3 linked regions of the Drosophila melanogaster genome follow. The protein of the gene in region 1 interacts with the protein of each later gene in a pairwise test. Each region holds a gene or a part of one and is shown on either strand. Other genes may lie near its edges.

What was found. The genes of interacting proteins can lie anywhere in the genome.
Region 2: the proteins of spab (region 1) and CG10565 interact in a two-hybrid assay, tested with the Drosophila melanogaster proteins (one large-scale study listed by BioGRID).
Region 3: the proteins of spab (region 1) and Poxm interact in a two-hybrid assay, tested with the Drosophila melanogaster proteins (one large-scale study listed by BioGRID).

Annotation. Positions count from the first base shown.
Region 1 is NT_033778.4:8,961,657-8,970,888, forward strand, and holds spab (space blanket), read right to left. Parts: upstream 6,529-9,232; 5' UTR 6,499-6,528; intron 3,879-6,498; 5' UTR 3,821-3,878; coding exon 3,560-3,820; intron 2,830-3,559; coding exon 2,703-2,829; intron 2,350-2,702; coding exon 2,121-2,349; intron 2,065-2,120; coding exon 1,959-2,064; intron 1,900-1,958; coding exon 1,885-1,899; 3' UTR 1,508-1,884; downstream 1-1,507. Other genes in the region: flz (filzig), read right to left, coding at 8,362-8,526, 8,588-8,707, 8,772-8,887, 8,956-9,140, 9,209-9,232.
Region 2 is NT_037436.4:21,132,750-21,138,856, reverse strand, and holds CG10565 (uncharacterized protein), read left to right. Parts: upstream 1-2,503; 5' UTR 2,504-2,979; coding exon 2,980-3,239; intron 3,240-3,347; coding exon 3,348-3,493; intron 3,494-3,951; coding exon 3,952-5,486; 3' UTR 5,487-5,607; downstream 5,608-6,107. Other genes in the region: Ac78C (adenylyl cyclase 78C), read left to right, coding at 1-53, 109-204, 346-526, 600-1,003, 1,063-1,291, 1,354-1,499, 1,637-1,750; ICA69 (islet cell autoantigen 69 kDa), read right to left, coding at 5,695-6,107.
Region 3 is NT_033777.3:8,330,793-8,336,388, forward strand, and holds the start of Poxm (Pox meso), read right to left. Parts: upstream 3,001-5,596; 5' UTR 2,333-3,000; coding exon 2,323-2,332; intron 1-2,322.

The sequences.
Region 1 (9,232 bases):
TGCACAGAGTTTGGGTGCGCTAATTCCGGGTCACACCATATGTTTAACATCATAAATCAACTAAATCTCACATCAAATGCCATAAAGCTAAATGAGTCCATTATCAATGTATACATGTGAAAACACAGTCCATTACCAGAATGCAATAGTAGTTTCAATACAACCCATGTTTCCTTTGACCATCAATACACGCCAGCTGAGAGATTAAAGTAAACATTAATTAACATTTTATTCATTTCGATGTAAGCTAAGAGTAAGAGAAAGATTGTAATTAGGGTTATGATTAAATAGTACCTTCATATTGTTATTTTTTCGGTCTGCGAAATTTACTTTCCTATTTTAATTTAATTTAAGCTTTACTGAAGTTAATCACATCCTGTACGAACACAATCGATTTCTTTGGAAAACAAATCTAAACTAAATTTATAGCTCTATTCGCGTACGTATATTTAGGTTTTGAAACTATTCCTGTAATTGTAAAATCTGTAAATAATCTGTGCATTCAGTGCATGCGAGTCAAACAAAAAATGAGAGACAAGTTTCGAAGGATAGCGGACTTGATATTTGTTTGACTGTTCCAAGCTAAGTTTAAGCCGAAAGTTGTTCTTAAGACTAACCCCCAATACAACCTCCGAAGTGGGGCACTTCCTAAAGCCCACGACCTTAGTCCCTGATCCAAACCAAAAACAACTTAAAAAAAAAACTGAGTTTAAGATTCAATTTAAACCGAAGAACATAAAATCAACAAAAGACTTGAACATGCGCAAAAAACATATAAAAATTAATTTTAAAAATAAATCCTATTTTGCTGGCAAACCACACTTTTGGTTCGAAATTTACAAGAATTCAAGAACTAAAACGATGCACCTTGTGCGGTTTATGTTAGGCTCAAGTAAGCGAAGTAAGTGTCTCAGCCATAAAGTTAGGGACGAAAGCATTTGCAATGTGTATTATTCGTGAATGGATTGGATCATGAGAGATATATAGAATGTCAGAGAGTTGAAGAACGAAAGGAGGAATGATTTACTTGGGTGTAATGTTAAAAACAAAAGCGTTGAAAGTGTAAACAGAGTCTAACTTTTAGCTTTAAGCTGCGTTTTTAATGGCACTTTAAATAAAATTACAAAAATAAAATCAACCGAAAATATTTGTAAAGAATTTTCTGCGGTTTTTATTCACTATCTTCTGGTGTATTTTCAACTATTAATTCATTAAGTTTGCTTGGGCAAGAACATAAAATTTATTATGTAAGTTTATTTTGGGTCATAAGACTTGGTGCTTTCGCCACATCAAAAGTCTTCTATGTTGTTCAGGTGCATTCGTCACTAGTTTATAGGTGCGTCTAGTTGTGTTTTTGTTTTACTAAAATTTGAACTTGTTTGAACTCAATTTAATATATATATTTTTAAGAGTTAATAATATATTAGTCCCAAGAATAAATCCGTTAACTTACCTTTCTCTCATTCAAATACGAATATATTGTTACCAAATAAGTTTCAGTGAAAGTGCAGATATTTGGTAATGCTTTTATTGTATTCGATTTACATTTAGACGTGAAACGATTTAATTGTTGCTTAAGTATGGTAAAACTGCATTGGAATACTCTTCTTTCTGCTATTAACATTGAATGCCTCAGTCAGTATATTTGGAGTCTCTACTAAAAACACATCTAGATGTCTAAGATCGTTTGAGTAATAGCAAATATTCATATGCAGATTATAGAAATACAAATGCTCTAAGCTATAGCAATTTGACCTTGATATGTATTTGTTTAACAACTTGATATGTTTCAATATTGAAGTAATTCATACTCAATCCAATTCAATTGCTGTTTGGCTACTTTCCTTCGGTTTAATGAGCTTTGCTACCCGAGAACTGCGATCTTCAGTTGCGTCGATGCTGTACGGGAATATAATATAACTCAAATTCGTATTTTTGTTTTTGGACTATATCCATACCTCTGCTCCGACCATATCTACACAGTCGAAGGCATCGCGAAAGTAGCCACAGCTCAGCTTAATGGCTGCCCGGTGGTGCAAACGCTGCTGTTGACAGCACATTCCGCTGGAAAGTGGGACAGTTAGACCTGAATTGGGCTTATCAGCGCTATGCGGACTCACTTGATCACCTGGCAGTCGCTGCTGCTGCTGCACTCGCTGCCCAGCGGTTGCCTCTCCTTCGCTCCGAATATACCCTCCAGCAGCGACGTGGATCCTCCCGATTCCACGCTCGGCTCACACCGCCACGCTCCCTCCTGGGGGACCAGCATGCAGGAGCTGCCCTGCGGACAGTCCGCATGTCCCTGGCACAGATCTCGCTGACGCCCAAAGACATATACGCATTTGCCTTCTGCAAAATGATAGAGTTTATATAACATTTTTGTAATGGGTTGTAGAATAGCATCAGTTGATGTAAAAAATTTATCCTTATTTTTAAGGAAATAGTGCAATAGATAGAAAGAAACCTTTCCAACACCTTAAAGTACAATAGGCTCTTGATCCAGGTCAATAGCCAAGTAGATCCTAATGCTAGTTTCAGTCTGGTGTCCACTTTCTTTCAAATGTTTTAATCCCATATTTAAAATTTTGTTTGTCTAGGATGATTCCAAGTATTGTCTCATTAGCTATTGTCAGCATTAGCTATTCCAAGTGTAAGTGAGTGGGTTGGGTCACAGCGGACCAAGTGCAATTAGACCAACTTACCGCCGTATGTGCTGACGCAAACTCCGGAAGGACAGCAATCGTCGTTGAGGAGGCAGGGTCGGTCGGCACAGGGCGTGTCCTCAATCAGCGGCTCCACGATTCCGTAAACTTCGGTCTGTTGGCGCATCTGTGGGGAAGGTCGAGTGCGGTGGCAATTAGTGTGGCATTTGTTGGGCGCACGGTGCGTATGCGCTATATGTATATCCCCTTACTGCGCTGCAGCAGTTGGTTGGCTATCAATAACGCTGACACTCGTTGCGCGTTAATTAATTTGAGTTTCAGCGCGAACTCTGAAATTTCCGTTGATTGAAACCATTGATCCAGTGGGCCAATAAAACCATACAAGCATACGGGTTCCAATTTCAAATTGCTGCAAAACACGGCGCCAGACGCCTTCGGATATTTGTGGCACGCCCACACGGCGTATGCGTTTTCAGATGTGTTCGAGTGGTGCGATTTTTATTGAGTTTGGGAGTCGCCTCTAGCTGCTTAAGCCAGGAATCTTTTTTCCATGCATTAAAAGATTGCCATTTTTCAAGAGCACACATTCATTTGAATTTTAAAATCGTATGCTCAAAAGATTGTTTTTAAATCAGAAAGTAAAAGAGTTTTTTTCATGCTTTTCTAATAAATTAAAATTACTTGAAATAAAACTAAATCTTGAAAATTGTCCTGTCTGTTGGTTTAGACAATTTACAATCGAAATAGCTTTTCAGCCTTCCTTTAAAAACTTCGTTAGATAAACGAATCCATTTTCCTAGCTGCAGACATTGCCCATCATCCCGTTTTACTGTACACATACCCTGTAGTTTCGTCCTGCAAATACCTGCAATCACAACCTCCACTCATGCACTCACCTGCTGCGGCGGAGGATGCGGCTGGTGCTGCTCCTGCTCGACGGCGCCATAGGGGCCCAGGTATTCGTCAAGGCCCAGATCAGCGGCTCCGGAAAACGGGGCTCTGCGGTGCATCAAGTTGCGCGATTCCCGGCCAAATAGGGCGCGCTGCCAGGCGTTTCCGGATGCGAACGAGGATGCGGACGCCGCGAGCGAGGGGTCCAGCTGGTGGGCCAGGCCCAGGAGCAGCAGCATGGCTGCCCACCTCGGAAAAATGCTCATAGTGGTCACGTTAGTACATCATCACTAGTGGAAAGCCCGCTCTCCTTCTCCCGATGAACTGTGAAAATGGAAACCGAGTACACGCTTAATTAAAACGTATGCCCGCCCAGGAGTCGATTGCTGACCTCCGGGAGGAGCAAACTTCCGTGTTCAAGCGCTCGAGTGGAGCGTGGGGCATATAAATCTCTGTCTTCCAGCTCAGAATCGCATCAGCGGTTCTATTAACGTTTTCCCGGCAAATATCCCCGTCGGGCAGCTCATTAAAATTGTCGGCTTGCTTTTAGCGTTATTATATTACCGGCTGTGCCTTAATTTATGTATTCTCAGACTTGGTTCACTCTCGTGTCTCCATTTGTATGGCCTGATGAAAGGCTCACATATAAAGTCGGTGGGTAACAATAAATTATGCAATTTTAGCATATTGCCTACTTTTGCACGTTAGCTTAATAAGCCATCAACCAAATAAGCAAAAATCGTTAATGTATGCCGAAGGTATAAGTTAAGAATCGTTAAAAATTAAAGGAAATGGAAACTTAGCTTATTCAAGTATTTCATTAAACTCAATTAAAGATGCACATTTAAAGAATATTCATATTTGCAAGTTTTAAAAGGAAATTATAATACATGTGAAAGTTGAGCCTGCCTGGGAGAACACGAAAGCTCAAAGTGAATTTTCCTTTCATTTGCTAAATGTTGTTAATTGTATTCAGTTTCGTGATGACTTCCCCCAGGAAAAGTAATTAAAACAATTTATGCAAAAGCTTCTAGCAAACGAATGAACAGTCTCAAACAGCTTTTAAATAACTTCTAATGTGGGTTACGTTATGCGTACTAAGTCGACTTAGTGGTAACTGTTCGTCCCTCAACTGAAATAGCATCATTTTGGCCTTAAAATAGAATCGAGCTAGATTGTTATATATAATTGCCTACTTATTGGGGTGGCACTTTGTAGCTGCACAGACGACCTTGATACTTTTGGCTTGATTTAGACCTTCTTTGGACGGTCGATTGACAACAGTTGTTAACACTCATCCATTAATAAGTTAGTGGGTGAAAGGCAATGGGTTCACCGAAGGCCAGGGAAAATATTTTCCGGCTGTCACACGAATATCCGGCGTGGGAGTGCAATTTCATTAATGTTCCTGCCTTCGAAGGCGGTTCAGGCCAATGTGGTTGACTAAACAAACGCGGAGTCCCTTTATGATTCTCCTTTAGCATTTTTATAATTACTTTCTCACACTTTCACTGGACGCGGCTCGTCAAAGTTCTTGTCGTCCCAGTTCGCGGGTTTGTTGCCAAGCATTTTGACCTTTTGGTTGCCGAGGACAGGAGTCATCCATAGCCTGTTATTAAATCTTGACTAATTGAGTTTCAGCCCAAAAAGGGCGTCCTGTTTTTTTAACCCGTTAGGGAAATTGAAATTGATCCATGTGTCTTTCGTCCTTTAATTTACCAAAGTGCTCATGCTTGCGACGTGACTTCTTTATCCGCTGCTAAATACTTCTAATTGCATTGGGCCACTGGAAAGTTTTGCAATTAGTATTTCTTCTATAGTTACAAATTCTCCGAAACTTTGCCAATGATTGGAAGGTGGCTTTAGTTTGGAAGCACTTTGGCGATGAGTCGATAAAAGTTCCTTAATTGAGCATAAACTTTACCTTTTCCGAGAATTATGCTTGCTGCGAACCTTGGCCCTTACAAATAAGATCCTTTGCTGTGATCATTGCGATAAATATTCTATTGAAAGGGCTAATGTATTTCTTAGAAGGGAATATAATCAGAAGGTACACCAGATGCCATGAAATATACAATTGTTTATATATCCATCTGTATGTCTGTCTGTCCGTATGAACTATTAGATCATGGGAACTATTAAAAGTTGGAATAAGTAATCATTCATATTGAAGCGATGAAGTTGGCATGTCTGTCATGCGTCGCATTTCTATTGCAGAATATAAGTCGGAAAGGACAGAATTGGACCACTATATTATATAGCTGACAAGTTAAAATTTGCAAAATGTATTACTAAGGATATCAAAGAAATACTAGATTCGTTGTTTCTGATCATAAAGTCTTCTCTTGGGAATGCATCAGTTTTGTTAAGTATACAAGATGTACATATATAAGATGCGAATAACCTTGGGATTGCCAAGGTTCTGAAGTGTGCTAAAAAAAAACTTATATGCATGATCTCCACGGACAAATCAACATTTCTTATACCTGCTTAAGCAATCGTATTTAAAAGCAACAAGTTTAGTGGAAAGCAATTCAACTCGACAAAGCACCACTTTACGCCATACCAGATAAAAATGATCAAATGAAAGGGATCAAATCCCAGCCGAATTAGCTCTAACTAACGCACTGTGCCGGTAATGGCATTCCATTTTGTGGCATATCCAGTTCCATATCTACGCTTTAGCCTGAACTCAACCACTCAATTCCACCTACGCTCGACCCACTTTAAAGTGCGAAAAAACGGTTCGCGGTGGAAATTAGACCATGATTTGCCGTAGTTGACTGCGACACGCCCGTGGATGCACTTAAAGTGCAGGTGCACAGTTGTCCTGCGCCATTCCATGGGCAGGAAGGAGTTGGTTATACCAATACACGTGTCAACTTTCACTTTCGCCGCACGCGAACGGGGTGGAGGGATGGGGTCCTTATGGCGCACAACATACCTGCTGGCTGGGCGTCCTGTCGGCTACTGAATGTCTGAAATGGCTCAAACAACACCTGTCGGCTAGCTGCCGGAAAGGAGCTTTTTGGCTACGAAGCTTTTAGTTGGATTTTTATGAATTAAGTGTGTTTGTGGCGCAGTCAAAGCTCCTAGGATTCAGTTTTAATGGAGTCTCCCCTCCGCCCGCACCATACCCCGTGTATGTGTGTTTTGAGTTTTGGCTGCGGGAGTTTCGGCCATGACGTCACTGTGATTTGTGGCAGCGGTGCAAAATTAATGAGCCTCCTCTTGTTACCAAAATGGGATCCTTGATTCGGAGTGGCTGTCCTGCAGGCAAATCTGTTAAATGGAAAACACGCAATTTGCTTGCCCCAACGAGATAAAAAGAGTCTGCCCTCCAGGACATTCCGTGCATCAGGATAATGAGAGCTGTATGCTCATGCCACTCACTCTTCGCTCTGAATGTTCGATGAGGAAATGATTTTGGCCACGTGGAGTGGAAATAGCGTTGCACTTGTGTGTACTTTGTATAATTAATTTACGTTTATTTGCCAGTAAATTATGTTTAGTGCTGCACGAGATGAGAATGATCTGTATTGAATGTTAACAACATCTTTAGTTAACTTAGATTTTATTTCAAATAGAATAAAAGTTATTGCTCAAAGACTGGTTTTCAGTTTAGTTTTTAAAATATACGTTATTGGTCAGGGACTACATATAATATAAAGATTTATCTCTTAACAGTGAATTACTCACACATGATATAATATTTAGGGACACAAATTATGGAATAAATAGCTGGTAAAATGCTAACAATTCTGTGTGATTAAATAGAATAATGAAGATGGTGCCAAAGGATTGTGGCTTTAGTGTCGATTTAGCAGCAGCATTGACATCTGGAGAAGCTGAAACAGAAGCTCCCAGGCGCAACCACATACAATATTCCCAATGGGGAAAAGCTAGGGCTGACTGAAGTGGCAACTTTCAAAAAAAGGAGAGCAAGCTCGCGTGGCGGAAATTGCATCAAGGCTACAGCTCAGTTTATGTCAAGAATTCCACCGCTCTTTGAGTTTTGTAAAGCTGACATTCAATGCTAAAATACATACATAAAAGTTTAACCTTTAGTTACTTTTAAGGCTAGCTACTGGAGAAAATTCTGAAATCATAGTTTACAAATGCAACCCCTTTGTTTGTTTTTACTAAAATGTATGTCGTTTATTTCGATTTTTTTTCGATTGGTTCGTTCACTTAACAATTAACATATTTAGATAAAAGAATTAATAATATAAATCGATAAATTAGTAAATTCAATTGAACTAAAAACATTTGCTCTCGCTCTCATTTGAACATAACAACAATTTGCCTATGAAGATAACAATTTTTTTAGTTGAATCAAACGCACAAATCGTCGCGCTTCCTCACGTCACGTCACATAAATAAATAAATAGTCAAATAAATAGGCTTAGAACTAGAATAAATATGTCTTATCCCTACGTTTTGCAATCAGCGTAATTCTCATTCAGACTCTACAAGTGTTAGGCACGCGTACTCAAAAAAACGAAATCTGCAGTCATCCTCAAGCGAAATGTCGCTAACTCGGAATGTGGAAATACCCGGCGAATGTCGTTTGAAATGCTGCAGTTGATTTTCTATTAAGCTAATGAAATGATGGTAGCATGGAGGGGGTTCGAGGAAGGGGTCCGAAGATGCGACGTCGCAAAGGATGAGCCAACTTTCCCACGCTTCTAGCCGCGACTCTTAAAACTCTACGTTCTATTTACACTTGGTGCTCCTGCCTCAGCAGTTAGTTGGCGCTGGCCATCTCTGGGATGGGGAGAAACTTGAAAACTGTGGAGGCGACTACCTATTTCACGCCCGTTATGCTGCGCAGCCACGGCTTGTAGAAGGTGGTGCGCATATAGACACCTGGCAGATACGGCGCCGCACACTTGATGCCGTGGGAAACGGTTCCGGCCAACTCGTAGCGTCCATCCGGTCGTTGCAGCACCAGCGGACCGCCACTGTCGCCCTGTCGGATAGTGAGACGGATTAGGGTACATTTTCAAAAGAAAAGAGTTCACCGAGCTTACCTCGCACGAGTCCTTTTGTCCGTTGGCATAGCCGGCGCACAGGAAGGAGGTGAGAATCTTCTTGTTGTGTCCAGCGGTGTGGAACATCTCCTGGCAAACGCTGTTCTCGATAATCGGCACCTAATTTAAATTAGCCCCGGGTCAGTTCGCAATTTAAAGGACACTCTGTTCACTGCGTGCTTACCTGCACCTCCTGGAGAACGGAGGGAACTCCACCTCCGTACTTAAGGCGTCCCCATCCCGTCACTGTCGCCATGCGTCCAGTGAAGTCCGCCACATCATTGGGCATGCAAATGGGCACTGTTGGCGAAAAGAGGAATAGATTAGCCCTTACTAAAGTATACATATGTATATGATATGAAACTCACCTATATGGGTATCGAATTGCACTGGACTGTCCAGTTCCAGCAGGGCCAGATCGTTTTCAAACGTGGCTGGATCGTACTGCCGGTGGACAATGACGCGCTTGACATTCTTGGTCACTGAACGCTTGCTCTCCAGGTCGCCGGAAATGTCAAACTCGCCCATAACAGCCACCAGAGAGGCCAGGAATCTGCGGAGGATTCAAATGAAATCCCTGAATTAAGCCCACCAAAACCATAAGTTTGAGTAATAGCTTACCCAGGCTGACAATGGGCGGCGGTG
Region 2 (6,107 bases), on another chromosome or scaffold:
TACTGCTAATATCCTTCCTGGTGATGGTCTGCTACCATGCTAGATTGGTGGAGGTAAGAGAAGGTGCGACCAATGCTTTCGACCCATCACTCATTCCGATTTCCCCAGGTAACCTCGCGTCTGGACTTCATATGGAAGGAACAAGCCGAGCGTGAACTGACCAACATGAAATCCAATCGCGCGCTTAATGACACATTAATTAAGGTAAGATATTTGGTCAAATACACAGGGCCAAAAAAGGGGATAATAACCATGAAATAGGAAGGGGAAAATGTAACCCAATTCTATTTTGGTCTACCTGCTCCTTCCTCTGCATTTTTCATTAATTAAACCATTTGATTGCAGAACATTCTGCCGGACCATGTAGCCACCTATTACCTATCCGACGAGCACACGGACGAGCTCTACTCCAAGATGCACAATCTCTGCGGCGTGATGTTCGCCTCCATTCCGAACTTCCAGGACTTTTACTCCGAGGACATCGACAATGGCAAGGCCTGTATACGTATTCTCAATGAGATTATCTGTGAGTTGATTGATTAAGCATTGTCTCCCGGTTGCAAATGTCTAATGATGCCGCACGGCACAAATCAAACCAGGTGACTTTGATGAATTGCTGGAGGAGCCACGATTCGCATCGGTGGAGAAAATCAAAACAGTGGGTGCCACGTATATGGCGGCAGCGGGATTAAATCACGAGCATCTCAGACTTCGCGGCGAGACCTCCGAGGATAGTGTCTGCGACCTGGTGGAGTTCGCATTTGCCATGAAGCAAAAGCTGGAGGAGATCAATGGGGATGCCTTCAATAACTTCCAGCTGCGTGTGGGCATCTGCAGTGGTCCTTTGGTAAGTGGAGTGATTGGAGCCAGGAAACCGGTCTACGATATCTGGGGCAATACGGTCAATGTGGCATCACGAATGGACTCCACGGGCGAGAACTGGCGAGTTCAGGTTCCGGAGAATACGGCGGAATTGCTTTGCTCCAGGGGTTACACGTGTGTGGTAAGTGGGTCTTTTGTTACCTATCCCGAATTCTTATACGTTTTTTCAAAATCCCACAGAAACGTGGTGAAATCGCTGTGAAGGGCAAGGGCATGATGACCACCTTTTATGTGCATCCCAAGGGAATATCGGAGAGCCAGCTGATCTCACCGGTTCGCATGCCAGCCGGGATTCCCCTGGCCCAAACCCCGAATCTTCAGCGGCAGACCTCCCATCATGGATCCTTCAGTGCCGTGGTTTTCGGAATGCTTCAGGCTAGCAAACGCAGCACAGCCATTGCCGGAACACGTAAGTGTTCCTTTCGGGTAACTTAAAATTCTTATAACATTAATTTGATTCTAATGCTTAAGCCACGGGCACTCCTTCGCCGCAAATCCGTCGAGGACATCGGGGAAGCACGTTCAGCTCGGTCCGGTTATCCCAAAAGTCCACCACGGTCAATCCTGTGCGCCGGAATACAACCCGTGTTCGGGGACGTTCATATCGACAGAAAAAGGTACAATACGTAGTGTTTCAAAAATTATTATATATCAAATAGTATTTAAGTTGTTCATATGATTCTGTTTAATTAGAAAGAGTATTTTCTAGAACCTATCTTATATAATGATATATTTTTCCTATTCAATATTTTAGAGTTCCTCCAACAACTCGATCGTCACGCAGGCCAGCTCTAGCTATATGCCCTCGTTCCGACGGATCGACCAGATCGAGACGACGATATCGAAGAGCCACAACGATGCGTTATAGCCGAGTACGCGCACTCACTGGGTCTAAGTCGATCTCAAGGCGATAGAGTGTCTGATGAATTTATTTTTGGAACGATTTTATACAAATGGAGTTACGCCGGCATATGTTTCAAAGTTTGGCTTAACACTGAAATGAAATGGTGGAGAACGACACTGAAGCTACTTAGTAGAATTTTTAAATCACCATACTTGAAGTTGCAAGAATTACATTTATCTCAGCACAATTCTAGTCGTTAAACTTAAGAACTGTCGTTTATATGTGTGCGTTTCAAATCTGTTTAGAGTAAGATATTTGGATCTTCCCACAAAAGCCAACCATACGAAATGCCAATGAACCTACTAGCTTCGTTCAATTCAACCATAATGTGTACCAACTAGTTTTCTAGTACTAATAGTCAATTTAACAGCCAGTAATCAATTAGAAAACCAAATATTAGTTGTACAAACCGTTTCTTTTGATCAAAGAGCGGAAATGTAAATAAAGTAAGCATACTTATGTATAAAATATTTTACGACCATCTAAATGTAATGAGGTCAAGTGTTACTGAAATGTGAAATGGATTTTGGCAAATAAAAGGTGTATTACTATACAGCCAGCACTTATTTAGCACTTTAATTGTAATTATACAATTCGTTATAAATAAATGTGATAAGCAAAACTAACAAATGGTAGAACTTAATGGTTTTTGGAATATACGTCAAGTTATCATTCAAATGAATTATAAACAGTCGTTTTCTTAACTATTGTATGACACTTTCTTTTTTTAGTGGCCCATTATAACAAAAACTCGAATGTGGAATGTATTTAATAGTGTAGGATTTGTTATGTAATGAACGTGGATTAATAATTTGTTAAGACGGTTAACTAAATATATAAATCATAAATAACCATTAGTTGAGATACGGTCACACTTTGGCGCCAAACCAATACAACAGTTGCCATTCGATTTTAGCTATAGCAGCTGGCAGCACTGCCAATAAGTGCCAGCGATACATGCTTGCTGTTATCGATCAAATATAGAGTAGGAAGCCAATCGATTTTACCAGCGCCATAATCGATGATGGCATCGATGTTTCACCACCACTAGTCGAAACACATGCGGTGCTGCGGAAAAGTGTGATTATTAATTGGATTTCGACGTTTTGAAGGCAGCGGATCGCCAAATTTTGAGTAACGTGAATCCACAGGAGTGGCGGTGAATGCCCATTAACCAGCGGACCTGACCAGAGATGACGAGCGGTACGGTAGCAACGGCGGTGGAGGTGCAGCTGCCGCTCAAGGTCGTTCGCCGTAAAATCGAGCGCGTTGGCTTCGCTTACTTTGCGCAACGGCGCCAATTTCTAGCTCCCGGCGGCGTGGAGCGCAGCGAAAGCGATGAGAAATTGGAGGGCGTGGGCGAGGAGGTGGACATCAGCTACCTAAAGTCGCTGGATCCTAAGGAGTGGAAGGACCAGGATCATTACGCCGTTCTTGGCTTGGGCAAGCTCCGGTTAGTGCGACGGCAGCACGTGGTGTTCTTCCCATGTGTTCGTTTCTATCAATATTTAATGGGACTTCCCCAACTAATACTGTATTGTCTGACTAAATCACCCTTTAGATACGAGGCCAGCGAGGATGATGTTCGACGGGCTTACAGGCGCATGGTTCTGCTGCACCATCCCGATAAGCGGAAAGCCAAGGGCGAGGAAGTCATCCAGGACGATGATTACTTCACATGCATAACCAAAGCTTACGAGATACTGGGTGGGTGTCAAGAAAATGTCCTTGCTGATCCTTGGGTGTCCTTCGGACTTCGCATTGCCCATGCAAATCGACAGATAAGAATATTTTGATATTAATTTTCAGAGCATTTGCTTAAGCTATATAAAATTATGATACCATACAATCCTGTTGAGTATAATAATCAATTAAGATTTTAAATTATCTGAAACTAATTTATACTCGATCTAATTCATTGGTGTGCTGTTGCCTTTGTCTAAGCGCGCAGAACTTGAAGCTTTATTTTTGCATATCTAAAAATAGGACTAGTTGTTTGCTCTCACATTCTTTTAAACAAAATGCCAAATTATAACTTACTATTATACAACAGAATTTTTTTGGCTTTAAACACTTTGAATAATTGTAAACAATTGTACGAAATAGACAGGAAGATTTTAAACTATTTCCTCTTAAACCATCTAATACTCCATCTTGTATTCCAGGCACATCCAAGCCGCGCCGCAGCTTTGACTCAGTGGATCCCGAGTTTGACGACTCGCTGCCCTCACAGAACGACATCGATAACGACTACTTTGGCGTATTTAACAAATTTTTCACACTTAACGGGCGCTGGAGCGAAAAGCCGCATGTTCCCTCCTTCGGGCAGGTGGACGCCAAACGCGAAGAGGTGGAGCGCTTCTACAACTTCTGGTACGATTTTAAGTCATGGCGGGAATTCAGCTACTTGGACGAAGAGGACAAGGAGAAGGGCCAGGACCGCGACGAACGTCGCTGGATCGAAAAGGAGAACAGGGCGGCTCGAATCAAGCGCAAGAAGGAGGAAATGTCTCGTATCCGGTCGCTCGTCGATTTAGCCTACAACAATGATAAGCGCATTCAGCGCTTCAAGCAGGAGGAAAAGGATCGCAAGGCTGCTGCCAAGCGAGCCAAGATGGACGCCGCCCAGGCCCAGAAGGCAGAAGCTGATCGTGCCATCCGTGAAGCGGCTTTGGCCAAGGAGAAGGCTGAAAAGGCCGAGCAGAAACGCATCGAGCAGATCCGCATCGAACGCGAGCAGCAGAAAAAGCTGCTTAAGAAGGAGCGCAAAACGCTGCGCGACAAGGTCAAGGACTGCAAGTATTATGCCAAGAACGACAAGGATCAGCTGAAGCACATGGAGGGCACCGAGAAGATTTGCGAGACCTTCAATCTGGCAGAGCTGCAAGCTCTAAATAAGGCAATGGAAAGCAAGGGCCGTGAGTCGTTTGTTGCTGCCCTTCAAACGGCCGAGCAGAAGATAGCTGCCGAGTTGGAGGAGATTAACCAGACACAGGCCAAGAAGCTTGCCAGCTCAGCGGCCACGCCAAAAGGCGTTAAGGAGGTCAAGAAGAATGAGCTCTGGAGCAATGAGAACGTGCAGTTGCTTATCAAGGCGGTTAATCTGTTTCCCGCTGGCACTGCACAGCGTTGGGATGTCATAGCCACTTTCATTAACCAGCATAGCCCGGATAACACTGTTCTGGTCAATGCCAGGGATGTGCTCAACAAAGCCAAGGCGCTCCAGAACACAGATCACTCGAAGAGCTCCCTGAAGACTCAAGCCAACGATGCGGCATTTGCCAGTTTCGAGAAGTCCAAGAAAGATGTTCAGACGTGTAAGGATATAACCCTGGGCGAGGAGACGGCCCAGGCGAGCAAGGAGAACTTGAAACAAAACGGTGTAGATCATAAGGCGAACAATCAGTCAACCAAGCAGAATGGCACGGCTCCAGCTCCAGCAAACCCCACGGCTGCACCAGCCCCAGTTCCGGCCACAAATGGGTCTACGGGCGGCGGTGCTGCCTCCAAAACCTGGACCAAGGAGGAGCAAGCCCTGCTCGAACAGGCCATTAAAACCTATCCAACGACGACACCCGATCGCTGGGATTGCATCGCCGCCTGCATACCGAATCGCAGTAAAAAGGACTGCTTACGTCGCGTCAAAGAGCTGGTCGAGCTGGTTAACTCCAAGAAGGAGGCACAGGCGGCGGTCAAATGAGTGCGGCTCCTGCTCCACTTTACCTGCCTCTCGTCCGCCTCATCCACTTCTAGCTGCTGTGTCCCATATAAATTTTATTTAAATAAAACATAAAAAGTTTTTGAACGTTTAGCGAAAAGTTACATCCAAAGATTCTCCATTTTGACTAGCTAGTTTCCAACGGTATATGCAGATCAACAAATATAATCTGTGCGGGAGGGTAATCTGCTCAGGTCTGCTCGGCCACACTGCGTCCGCCGCTCAGTTTTAAATCGAAGGCTTGCGGATTGGCTAAGGGATCCAAGTCGGCGAAAAGATCCAGCCAGGGATTGTTGGTGGTCTGCGATTTGCTGGGAACCGGGGTGGCGCCACCTGCACTTGCCTTCGAGTCCGTGGCTACTTGGCTCGGTATGGGTTGCTGATTCTGCTGGCTAAACAAGCGGGACCATAGCTTGTTAGTGCTATTTTGGGCAGGTATATCTTCATCCAGCGGCGCATCTATTAGAGGACTGTCCTCCAGCTGCTTGGAAAGCTCAATAAGCAAGGATTCATTGTCGCCGCAGGCATTGGGAGGTGCACTTGGTTTGTCCTCTTCGGACTCCTTGATTTCCGGCTGGGTTTCCAGCTTGTCCTGGTACTCGT
Region 3 (5,596 bases), on another chromosome or scaffold:
ATAATTTCATATCATTTTATTGTATGAAATGAACTTCTAGAGCTAGCTGGAAAATAGCCAGTTTCACAGCTCTGATCCTAGGACTCCAAATTCGAGACTGAGAAATGGAGTTTGGAATGATTGTGGCAGTTCCGGTTTTGGGTCGCCATCGCCCCCATGGGACTTGACACAGGCCATCTCAAGGGGTTAGAGTCTAGGGGTTAGGGGTTAGAACCAGATGTTAGCCGCCCGCTTATTGATGCGATCGCATTCATTATCCCAGAATGAACTGGCTCAAACACGTGCCCCCTAACGATTAGAAACTCATTAAATATATGGTAATGAGCTGAGTTTGCTTCCAAGAACATGAACTACACTTGTCAGATGTCAGAGGTTGTGGATCCATGGGGAGATGTCCACGCCCAAAGGGAGCAAATGTCAACTGATCTACAGTGAGAAACCTAGCATATTACAACAAAAAGTAGAACATACTATTCAAAGGATAAAATGCAAAGGGTTTTGGAGGTTTTAATTATACTCAAAGCCTATTTAGTGCAACTTTTTTAAGCTCGCCGAGCAATGCCCAAAATGACTGCAAATGCGCTTAATGAATGTTCCGCATCAGCGGTCGGGGATGTGATTTAATTAAAGAACTCAGGGGAAACGACGCCACACAATCAAGCCGAGGCAGTGAAGCGTTTTCCCAAACCCGAACCGCAATCATCGGTATCCACGGGAGGAAGCTACTGGTCGGGCTTTCAGATCAGTCCCCGCCGCATCCTCCCGCAGTCGCTGCTCCTGGGCACCTACTCCCATACCATATAGACTCTTCCATTAAGGCATGTACACATTGACGCGACGTTTTCCTCCTCGGATCTCAAGTGTTTGCCTGCCTTTCGTGGCCATCGTCTGCGCCTTTTGTTTTACTGCCCCTTCTGTGATTTTAACATCTTGCACTTGCGGCCCGCGTCTGGTGGGCTTTTCATGTTTAGCTACCGAAGTAGATGGCTACCGGTGGCCGTTAGTCACGCATTTCTGCACCTCTGGTCCAGAGTCTGGGTTTTGGTTTGGGTTCGGGCATGAGCATGGGTCTGCATCGGCGTCTATATCTTTTTCGACGTCTCCTAGTGAGCAAACAATGCTGGCGTACAAACAGAATGTCAAAACATCGAAAGCATGTCATTAATGGACCAAAAGTGCGGGACCTCCTAGCCGACTTATAACTTCTTTTCAGCTCGGACAAGTGGAAAAATATATATTCGTGTATGTCCTTTTGATACTTTGCCATAAAGAGGCTCAAGCAAACAAATAAATACTTGAAACTAAGTGGGGAATACCATTATAAAAGATTACCCATAGTCAGTCACACTTGTATGTCACTCATAGAAATTGAAAACTATTGGCAAATTATTTCAAAAGATGATCTAAGCAATTCGAAATTTGTAAAAGTAAATCGACGCATGCCAAATTATTCGATTGCGCACATGTTTGTCAACAACTGAGAGAACTGATCAAATCTTTACACACTTGTGTAGCGTAGTTTTCGGCCATAAGGCCATGTCTTGCACTCGCATTTTGCTTTTGGCCCAAAGCACATGGACAAACAGAGACACGGACACTTGGAGCCAAAAGTGAAGACCGCACGACAAAGGCAGAAACATTACAACGATCATTAGTTAAATTAGGAGCCTTGGCTCCGGAGTTTGGGATTGGGATTGGGGTTATGGGTTTTGGATTTTCGGTTTAGGGTTTTGGGTTTTGGAATCGGGTACGTGTGCGGACGTCGGCGACATCATCGAAAGTCAAACAAGTGCCGCGGCTACCGCGAGGCTGTCGATCATGCGCCAAGCGACGGCAGCCTTTTGAAACGAAAATCAAAAGCAAACATCTGCCTCTTGATGTTGCCCAAAAAAAAAAAAAAAAAAAAAAAGAAGTTGGTCCAGCGAGCGATTGTGTTTATCCCAAGCAGTTAGGGGATCCGGATAAGGACTTGGCTGGAGGATCGGACAAGAGGGCTTTATTGGCAAAACACTCGAGTGGCGGGCTTAAGTTAAGAGATTTAAGTGAAAATATAGTGCTACTTTTGAATTTGTCTTTTCGTTACCTTATATTTTAAGATAGAGAGGGAAATGTGATTTCAAAAGTCTTATCAATATTTCCTGCAATATACATATTCTTGTTTTTCTGATTATATTAACCCAAATCTATCAATAAAATAGCTACTACGCTTTTTAAAGAAACCCAATGCCGTCGGCACCTCAAAAATGCCGATAGATCTAAAAATTTTAATTTGGAAATGAATTCTGAGGCCTATATCTTTGTGAGTCATGGATTGAGACATACCTGGGTCCATTTCGGCCGATGGCAATTGATTGAAGAACTCCAGAATTGCAATTGTGGGCACCCAAATCTGCCTTTCGCCAACTCCGCCGTGGAACTTTCTCCGATTGGATTCGCCGGAATAGTTGGACTCTGCTTTGCTGGGGATTGTCGGTGGTTACCTAGTCGTTAACTTTTCGCACTTGGCTATAATGTGAGTTTCAATTAAGGCATGAAATTTGTATACAAATTGGCGCCAGTTGTGCGGGACAGCATCGGGCTGCGATGCCTACTATGCCGTGAACCAAGACTGAGATCTGATTAGCACATTTTCGGGCCAAAACGATCGCTCTCGAGTAGGTTGGCTCGAAAATTATCACGCACTTATCACACCTTATTGGGGAAGCGGGAACTACACACACTTAATGACACTACAATGGGTTTGTTATGCTTTGATTTTGGGAATTATGTCGGTTTACTTTGGACTTGACTGGCGGACCTCCCGTGCGATTGATGGTTTGCAAATGAACCGATTTAAACAGCATTCACTGATCCGTGCGCGCGCCTTTAAATCTTTCGATGGCCTTTTTGCTCTAGCGTATCGGGTCGTAGCGTATCGGTTGGGAACGGTTTGGATCGGGAAAACCTGGCGCGCTCTCCAAAAACGATCGTTGCTGCTCGTCACCCGTGTCTGCTGCGACTAACGCTGCCCGCGGCGCTGCCGATCAAGATCGCCCACAATCCACGTCCACGCACACATTGAATATCACCACCACAGCCACAGTCACATCCACATCTACAGGCTCAAGTGGAAGTGGAAGCCACCGCGTCGACGCAGCATCCCAAGATCTCGCTCTCTCTTTTTCTCACTCTCCGCATTCTCCTCCGCAAGCACACACACACTCATCCGTGAGAGGAAGGGGCGGTCGGTCGAGCGTATATGTGGGTTTTAATGGCGATGATCGCGCACTGGTGTGCGTTTGTTGGTGGACCGCGGGCAAATAATAAAAATGAAGAATGTCTTTCAGCGATCAGGAGCGCAGGCAGCGAATTGAGGGTAAGCCCAGAAGAGTTAAGGCGCCAGTAACTTTGGTATCGAAATATCTTGTAAGTGTTTAAAGTAAAGGGTTCATATAAATTAAATATTTTAATAAAGAGATCGAATTCAGAAGTTTAGAAGAAGGTTTTTAAGACTTTATTACATCAAGTTATACACAATAATCTATACAATTTTTTTATTATTTATCATAACATATTTCCGTTTTCTTGCTGATGGATAATAAACTAAGCTAACAACCCATCTCTCCTTTTTTCCCCAGTTACCGCTCCTGTAGTCGCTCAACTTTGTGTTTGTGTGCCAACGGATGTGTGGGTGTATCCATGGATCGGAATTCGTACTCTCGCTCTCTCTCCGCTGCAATACCTACACAGACGAACCGAACCGAGTGAGTGAGCATACGCAACCGGGCGGAGTTAATTTCTGAATGCTTGAATGGCCAATCTGAAGCAAGTAAGCGTATCCGTAGCGTTACGCAGGGTGGGCGAGCGATGTCATGACTTCTTAGTGTCACACAGATGAGGAGCAGACGAAAAAGGAGCCGAGGGAGAAGGATAGAAGGAGAGAAACGGAAGGAAAAGGAAAGGGGCGGGGCTGTGGGAATTCTCGGAGCGCGTGCATCTATTTTTGGTTCATTAAGAAAGCCATATCGCTAATAAAGCGGCACAGACAGCTAACCCCGTAGATCCCCAGGGATCCACCTCCCGGCCAATGCGGCGTATGCGTGATGCCAACTCTCGCTGAGGCGTTGCGTCTTGCTTGGTTAGAGTTAATTATAAGAAATGCCGTCTTCATCTGATTGTCACTAATTCTGAATACCGCCATTTAATGATAGATGCCAATTGTCGTTGTCATTCCCTCATTAAAATGGTCAAATCGCCGCTCTTGCTATTCTTAATGTTGTGCTCGCTCTCTTCGCTGGCTGTTTAGCATGGCTGTGTGTGCACTTAGTGCGCGTGTGTGTGTGTTTTGGCCCACACACACTGTTGCGCGTTGGACACACCTCCTTGAGTTGGCTTACGCTTACCTGCTCATACCTTTTGTTGCGAATCCAATTGGCCCTCTCCCTGTCACTTTCTGATTTCTGCTCATTGCCGACTGCATTTCCCTGCATTTTGTGGTTTGACGAACGCCATTTCCGACATTGCCTTTGTTTTAAAACAAATAATTCTTATAGTTACAATGTACTTTAAAAAATTTAAACTAAACTCTCCTAATACAATTCATTATTGTTAAATTACTTGTCTTTTTAATTTTTTATAATTTTTATATAAATTTTAAAAACATTTAAAATGTATCTATTACATTGGCATTTTGATTTTGTAATAAACATAAATACATATTATTTAAATAATATTGTAAAAACAATGCATTTTCTTGTTCAGTTTTCTACTTACTTTTAAGAACGAAATGATTAAAGGGAAACACAAAATCATCATAGAGTAAACAATTTTTTTCTTTTTATTTAGTAATACTAGATAGATAATAATAGATCAAGTTGAAGAGCTTTATTTAATCATTAAAAACAATTAAGTAAATCTTTTAATAAAATAATCCAAACGCTAAGAAGTAAATCTCCGATACGTAATGGATCGACTTACAAAATAATTGGCCATATGCGAAAACCAAGAATTCTTCCCCGGCGGCCAAAGCTTCAATTTGATGACTAAAGCATTGGGGATAAAGAATTGGGGGAGCTGATGACAAAATTGTCTCCGCGTTTAACAAATTGGGTGACAGGCTTTGAAGTCGCCGGCAGCCAGCGACAAATGACAAGCATAACAAATGAACACTGTGCGTTTTCCGCTTATTTTTTTCTCCTTCACGGATACTTTCCAGTTGTATCTTCCTGTGTTATAAAACAAGCGGGAGTGGAAGGAGTCGATGTGGAATCTGCCAGGCACTTGAGAAAACAAAGGAGCTAACACCAGGGACTTGGGAAAAGGAGTCCAAGTACCAGGAGCAGCATCGTATGTCATAAAGTGGCAAATGCGCTATTAAATTGACACATATAAGTCAGAGGAGGAGGACAAGTTACATAAGATTGCGCCAGATGGGCGGGGACTATGCACTGGGAAAAAACACTTTGGAATTATAGATACAGAAGTTTGGATATATGTTTTGAAAAGAATTTAACTTATAAAGTACACCTTATTAATTGTTATCAATACATTTTTTCATTTATTATTCGTATAAAATTATCATATTGCACAGTCCTTTAACAATGGAAATCGCCGCTTT